Saccharomyces cerevisiae S288C: one gene and its partner. Changing the gene in region 2 together with the main gene of any one other region gives a genetic interaction. Each region holds a gene or a part of one and is shown on either strand. Other genes may lie near its edges. The genes, in order: DPC29 and DSE4.

The links.
Region 1: mutations in DSE4 (region 2) and DPC29 together harm fitness more than expected from each alone (negative genetic interaction), as found in Saccharomyces cerevisiae (2 studies listed by BioGRID).

The regions. Positions count from the first base shown.
Region 1 is NC_001139.9:525,529-529,231, forward strand, and holds DPC29 (post-initiation translation factor DPC29), read left to right. Parts: upstream 1-2,103; coding exon 2,104-2,976; downstream 2,977-3,703. Other genes in the region: UGA1 (4-aminobutyrate transaminase), read left to right, coding at 1-1,116; VMA7 (H(+)-transporting V1 sector ATPase subunit F), read right to left, coding at 1,445-1,801.
Region 2 is NC_001146.8:756,805-760,734, forward strand, and holds the start of DSE4 (endo-1,3(4)-beta-glucanase), read right to left. Parts: upstream 2,296-3,930; coding exon 1-2,295. Other genes in the region: YNR068C (uncharacterized protein), read right to left, coding at 3,263-3,930.

The DNA of each region.
Region 1 (3,703 bases), on a different chromosome or scaffold from region 2:
CCTGCCTTAGGTAACTTCCCATCTAAGGATTTAGACAAGATATTGAAGCAAATATTGAAATCTGCGCCAAAGGGTCAAGATCACGTCTGGTCAGGGCTTTCCGGTGCAGATGCCAATGAATTAGCGTTCAAGGCTGCCTTTATTTATTACCGTGCCAAACAAAGGGGCTATGATGCCGATTTTTCTGAAAAGGAAAACTTGTCTGTCATGGACAATGACGCCCCTGGCGCCCCTCATCTTGCCGTACTATCGTTCAAGAGAGCGTTCCACGGTAGATTGTTTGCCTCCGGTTCCACAACTTGTTCTAAACCAATTCACAAGTTGGATTTCCCAGCCTTCCACTGGCCTCATGCTGAGTATCCATCTTACCAATACCCATTAGATGAAAATTCTGATGCAAACCGTAAAGAGGATGACCATTGCTTGGCCATTGTTGAAGAATTAATCAAAACCTGGTCTATTCCAGTTGCTGCCTTAATCATCGAACCAATTCAATCTGAGGGAGGTGATAACCACGCTTCTAAGTATTTCTTACAAAAGCTAAGAGACATTACCTTGAAGTATAACGTTGTCTACATCATAGATGAAGTGCAAACAGGTGTCGGAGCCACCGGTAAGCTATGGTGTCATGAGTACGCCGATATTCAACCACCTGTGGATTTAGTGACCTTTTCCAAGAAATTCCAAAGTGCAGGATATTTCTTCCACGACCCTAAATTCATTCCAAACAAACCATACAGACAATTCAACACATGGTGTGGTGAACCTGCAAGAATGATCATTGCAGGTGCCATTGGACAGGAAATCTCCGACAAGAAGTTGACTGAACAATGTTCAAGAGTAGGTGATTATTTGTTCAAGAAATTGGAGGGTTTGCAGAAGAAATACCCTGAAAACTTTCAAAACTTGAGAGGTAAAGGAAGAGGCACATTCATTGCCTGGGATTTGCCTACTGGTGAGAAGAGAGACTTACTATTGAAGAAATTGAAGTTGAATGGTTGCAACGTTGGTGGATGTGCAGTCCATGCAGTGAGATTAAGACCTTCATTAACATTCGAGGAGAAGCATGCTGATATCTTTATTGAAGCATTAGCCAAATCAGTTAATGAATTATGATTGTATATTAGCGAGGCCGTGTCACGTTCCCTTTTTTGGTCTTTATATATGTGTATCTTGTTATAATTTTAAAGAAAAGTTTTATATTACTCATCAGTTGTGTGTGAAAAATATGGGCGGGTATTCACAATAGGAAAAAAAAAATGGGTTTGGTGACTGCAGTAAAGACGTGCTAAAAAAAAAAAAGTTGTTTTTATCTGAACCTTAAATATATCATTTATGAGTGTATATATTATACAAACGCAATAACAGTGGCTCCCGCCCTCCACCTCCGCCTGCTACTAGTAATCTACCAGTAATTGTGTTTGTTTTGGGAAAGATCGTTCGCTTACTCACCGAACAACTTTCTGACTCTCTTCAATACAGAGTCCTTTTCAGGGTCGTAGGGATGATCTTTAGATGGAATTTCTAAAATAGCAGGGAACGCATTGGTGAAGGAGTCCACTCTAGCTCTTATGTTTTCCGCGATATGTTGGTTGATTAGAAGGATGGCAATATCGTCTCTCTCTTCAGTAAAGTGATTAAACTTGTCAGTGATTTCCTCCTTAGTAGTCTTACCTTCTTGGTAAACAAAAAAGTTCTTTTCTTGGGTTTCAGGAGTGATTTGTCCAATCCCGGCTAACAATAAACCAGTTGTAGTATCTTCGTCAGCTATCACAGCTATAAGAGTACGTTTCTCAGCCATGATTTAGTTACTATGCGTCAGTGAGACTAGCTATGAATATAGAAATGTAGTGCTCTATTTTCTTAATTCTTTGTCAACTCGATATAATAAATGTAGTGCTTGCAATTCACGTTGGTTTTCCTGTTATCGTTCGCCTTTATTTTTTTTTTTTCTTTCGTTTTCCTACTTCCCTTTACCGGCGTAAGCGCAGTGAAATTTTTTTAGTACGCACGTACGCAAGTTTCAGCAGCAATAAGGGGAAAGATGATGATAATAACTAAGAAAAACAGCAAACTTGGTATGAACGCATCAAAAATTGGAAAATGTTGGTAAGAAATAGGTATCTGGGTGAACTGCTCAAAAACTCTCGATCGTTTAGTGTGCTGAATTCCTCGGTACGTTCAGGTCACAACAAATGGTCAACCATCAAGCACGGTAAAGCCAAGAATGATGCGGAACGAAACAAAATTAATAACAAGTTTGCAAACCAGATAGCAATGTCAGTCAAGTTAGGCAACGGTATTACGGATCCGAGCATGAATATAAGATTAGCCACCAGCATCGAGCTAGCAAATAAAAACAATGTCAGCAAAAAAGTTATTGAGAACGCCATCCGGAAAGCTTCTGGAAGCAGCGCATCGGGCAAGGACTCAAACGCTTCTGAGCTATGTGTATACGAGGGAATGGGGCCCGGCGGGGTCGCTATAGTGGTGGAAGCGCTGACAGACAACAAGAACAGGACCATAGGTCTGATAAGGAGTGCATTTAATAAAGCTAATGGATCGATGACTCCAACGTTGTTTTTCTTCGACAAAAAAGGATACGTTACAATGGTACCTCCGAAGATGTTAGACACTGAGGACAAGGTGCTAGAAAGCGTACTGGAGATTCAAGGCATCGAAGACATTGCGCCTGTGCAGGAAGACGCAGAAGATTTAGAGTGTGATACCGAAACTGAAACTACAGGCCAAACTTACGAGGCGGTGATGGAACCTGCCGATACCAATAAGGTGGCCGCCCTACTGAAGGAGCGTGGTTTCCACATCAGAGACTTGGGCATCGGCTACAATGCCAAGCCGGATATGGAAGTTTTCGTGCAAGGCGATGAAACGCTCGAGAAACTACAGAAACTGACCACAGCGCTCGAGGACATCGACGAAGTGACGTCGTTGTACACTAACGCTAGCAACGCTTAATCCAACCAAACCGTAAATAAATAATCAATACCACAAATACCTGTATATACTAAACAAACAGTAGTAATAACTGTAATAAAGAGTAAAAACAACAACAAAGACAATCGTACGTAAAAACACCAAGCGGACACCAGCACTTGCCTGCTGCGGACTGTTGTCTGCGGACTGGCGGGGGTCGAGCAAGAACCGACGAAGTAACCGACGGAAGGCGGGCGGAGACGGAGACGCAGCCGAGATCTATTTTTACTCAGCGGTAATATTAGATCATGGCTAGGGGGATCTGGAAGTACAATGATGTGCTCTCCCCCTCTCAAACACAACACCAGGATGAACTAAGGGCTCATCTCGAAAGTCGAAGGTGCCTCATTCAGGTTATTAGTGGTGCCTGTTGTGTCTTCCATGAACAAGGAGCACTTAATTACTTGTTGTTGCATGAGATATCATTTTTTTTTTTCCCTCTTTCTTGGGGTCTTGACAGTCATCAAATCGAAGTTTTTAGTTTTTCTTCTTCGGGAAGATCAATTTTAGGTAGAAAAGTGTAGATGAAAAACGAAGGATACTGCTATTTACTGTAAGTACTCTTCGGTCCATATTGGAAGACCAAGGCATAATAAGGATATATTCCGAGGAGATAATTGGGATATAATCCTCCATTGCTTCCGAAATTTGTTTAAACACTTCTAGTTCATTTCGGGTTGGTTCGATCTTCGTTTCCACTTTTAACTTA
Region 2 (3,930 bases):
GGCAACTTCAGCTAATAATTGCAATTGTTCTTTAGAATACTCTAAAAGGTTTGAGCCAAGTTGAGAAGACCATGGTAACCAAGATATTTGTCTGTTTAGAGATGTGGAAAATTGTAGGCTCGTTGTTAGATAACCGTTCATTACACCCTTAGTTGTAGAAGCGAGTTGAATGCCGGTATAGTAGTCTTGCATTATATCACTAAATGAAGATTCATGATGGGGCAAGGCAAAAATCATTGTGCTACCTGATGCCGACTCACCTTGGGTGGTATAAGAAAATTCATAGGTAGCTGTAGAACCGTCAGAGACACCCTGCAGCTTGAAATTAGTAACGTACATACCTGCGGCTTGATCATAAAAGACCTCGTAATCAGTTTCAGAAGGTGCGACGGCCAATTGAATGATAAGACCATCAACACTAGCGCTTGCTTTAATTTCATATTCTGAGCTCACCTCCAATGAAAAGTCCGTTGAGGTTAAATCGTCTGGTCCTATCACGTAACATAACCAAGTGACTCCATTCAAAAGGGTGATACGATATTTGAGAATACCCTGAGCTAAATTGCTTGATGATTCAGAAACAATGGTATTGAATCCGACGCTGGAACCAATCTTGGCATTTAAAGATCCATGATATATACCAGTTGCAAATCCCATACCTTGAACCAAAGGTATTTCCAGGTAGTTCGAAGAATCATTGGATTCTGATAGCACTACCCTTGTTGAAGACAAGGTCATTTCATCAACTTGCATAGTCATACTTGAATCAAAATTCGAAGCTGAGAAAACAACATGAGCAATTCCCAAAGGATTGACCAAATATTCTGCATTACCGGAACTGTCATAACCACCGTAGCTATATTGATCTACTGTTGTATGTTGAACAGCAAAACCATATGAACTCGAGGTGTACTTCCACAATGAATAAGGATACACAAAGGCAGGTGATTCCTGACTACCAACAATCAAATTTGTATAAAACTTGTTTGTTTGAATGGGACCATCGTTTGACACCCCATCAGCCAATGACATAGGATTTGGTGATCTGTCAAAAACAGTTGGTGGTTCATCTGTCGAAACAGCATTGAAAAGATTGACAATGGTCGTTGTTGAAGAGTTCTCCGTTGTGGTAGCGGTGCTACTGGTCGAGGTTGACAGAGAAGAGGAGGAAGTTTTTGTTTGTCTCGAAGATGAGGACGAAGAGATGGTAGCTTGCATTGAAGAAGATACATAAATGGTATCTAATGTCGAAGAAACCGGAGAGGAAGAAGAATCTACTGTTGAAAATAGTGATGACAAAAGAATGTTTCCTGTTGAACTCGATGGATAAACTGGACTAACAGTCGATGATAGTGATGGTGATGGTGAAGAACCGTTTTCTGTAATGTTTGAAGGGTAAATTGGACTAGTTGTCGAATATAGTGATACAGATGGAGAAAGAGTGATTTGTGTCCTATTAGATGGGTAAGCAGGGCTTGCTGTTGTAGATGCGAGCGTCTGGACTAAATCCTGGGTTGAGTTGGATGGATAGAACAAAGTCGAGGAAGCAGGAGTTGAAGCAATGAAGGAATCTTCGCCGGTAGCTGTAGCTGCATTTGTCCTTACTGAAATAGTATATATCGTTTTATTCGAGGTCAATGAAGAAGGAATAATTTTTGTTTCTTGGGAAGAATAGGAAGGCATTTGAGTTACCAGTGGATCGATTGTACCTTTTGAAACAGAAGTCAATAAAGTTCCATTTAATTGTGTCCCCGAAATAGATAAAGATGAAGAAAATAAAGTCGAAGTCGAAGTCGAAGCAGTTTGAGATAATAATGTGGTGACTTTACGCATTGTTGATGCACTTGGCATGACTGAGGCGACGCCGGAAACCGAACTCAAATTGTGTACTGAACTTTTGCTTTTCGAATTATCATTTGCGTAAATATTTGAAACAGTGACAGGATCATTATTGGTTTGTGCGCTTATTTTTTGAGATACTTGGCTTGCGTAGTTTGATAACGACAATGACAGTTGAACTGCTGTTCTTGTATTAGAATCACTGTCTTGTGAATTAATTGGAGATGCGCTCACTCTATTTTTTGGCGAAACTGAGAGAGGGCTATGAGAAGCTGCAGATACTCTTGTTACAACCACCGATTGTGCAACATAAGGCTCACCTACTGTCAAAGTAGCGTAAGATAAAGTTTCAATTAAATCAGTTTCCAATATTTCGTCTGCATTATTCGATATGAAACTTATATATGAACATTCGACGAAACTTAATAGAAAAAGAAGTGTCAGATATAATTGCATACTAGCTGTTTTTTTGTTTTCTTTTCTGTATGCAGACCGTTACTATGGTTATCTACTTGTTGAAACAAGCACAAGAAACATACTTGATATTCATTTTTGAAACAAATTGCACCAAGTATTTATATGTAGTCCTTTACCCTCGCTTGTAGTCTTCGTATGGTGTATATGCTTTGCTACTCTTTTCATACCCAGCTCTTATTTTTAACTTTTTGGGTTCAGCTTTATGATTAACTAGTTTTTCCTTGGTAACCAAATTGGGAGATTTCGTGCCTTTTCTGCTGGCTTTCATAACAAAATATAGCCGAAAAGAGCTTAGCGCAGCTGAACTCGGTAACAAGGTTCAGGTAAAAAGGGGAGAAAAAAAGAAAAGAAAGCCAGATCTTTCAAAAATATGCCAGCAAATACCAAATTGGTCATAAAATAGCTAGCACTCCGCTATCGAGCAAGTTCTCTTGGCAAGCAGGCTTATTCTATTCTTTTGCTGAAGGAAAGGCCAGTTCTATGCTTATAACCTTAAGTAGGAAACATATGCGCAGCTTACAGCGCATAAAATTGATGGCAACCCATTTAGTGGTACTATTCCTGCGTTATTACTAGTATGGTCGCTTTAAAGAGTGGTAAGATTTCACATTTTCAAATCTAAAAAGCAAAGTTTATCACTTGAAATGTACCTCTCTGTGGGCTTTCACTACCTTGTACATTTTCTTAGCAGTTCCGTACATTTTTTTAAACAATGAAAATTCAAAGTTCTATGTATAGAGATTATTTAGGTTTTTAGTACTTAAAGTATTTTGAGAATACCTTGGCAAACGCAGAACAATCGTAAAAGAGATTGCTACTGCGCACTGTTTCCTTGCTTTATCACTTTCAGTTCTGCAAGAACTAAGGTGTTTATCAGTAATGATACTGTAATATCAATAGCGATAAAAACTTCGTCAGTGAAACCATTCTTTTTAACAGCCATCTATCAAATAAAAGAGTTTTTAACTTGAACTGGGATATCAATTTCAGCAGATCCAACACCTTTATCAAAATGAAGTTTTACGCGGAGGAAATATGACCTCGAGCATAAACAACTTTCAAAACTTGGCACTATGGTAGCTTTAAAATCATCATTATATTTTATATTCAATAACAGTGTTCTCTTATACTCAGTTGAACTGACCTGATTCCATTCATTTGATTTCCGATGTGAAAGTACCGAATGGTGATAGTTTGATGGGGAGGTTTTTTTATTCCTAGAAGTTCGAGGAATTATGCTGGATATAGGAGAAGAAGCAACAGGCACACTTTTCTCTCCAACCAACTTCGTTTTCAACGCATTTTTCATGACAACAACATTGGCTTCCATATTGGCTAAAACCTGTACGTCCTTAATTATACTCGAAGGCATTAAATCAGAAAAATCGAGCGATCTATTACGCAGGCTAGCTCTTGCGTCATCGGCAAGAAGTAAGTTTATTTTTGTTTGATTTTTAGTGAACTCATCGCGATATGCTTCAATGTTTTCCAAAATTTCCTTAAATATTTTCTTAATTTCATTGTATTTGTGCTTCTTTAAAAGTAAATCACTGTGGAACCTCACTGGTTTGCAATCTTTTGTGTTCGTTGTTAAGCAAATCAATTCCGTCTCCA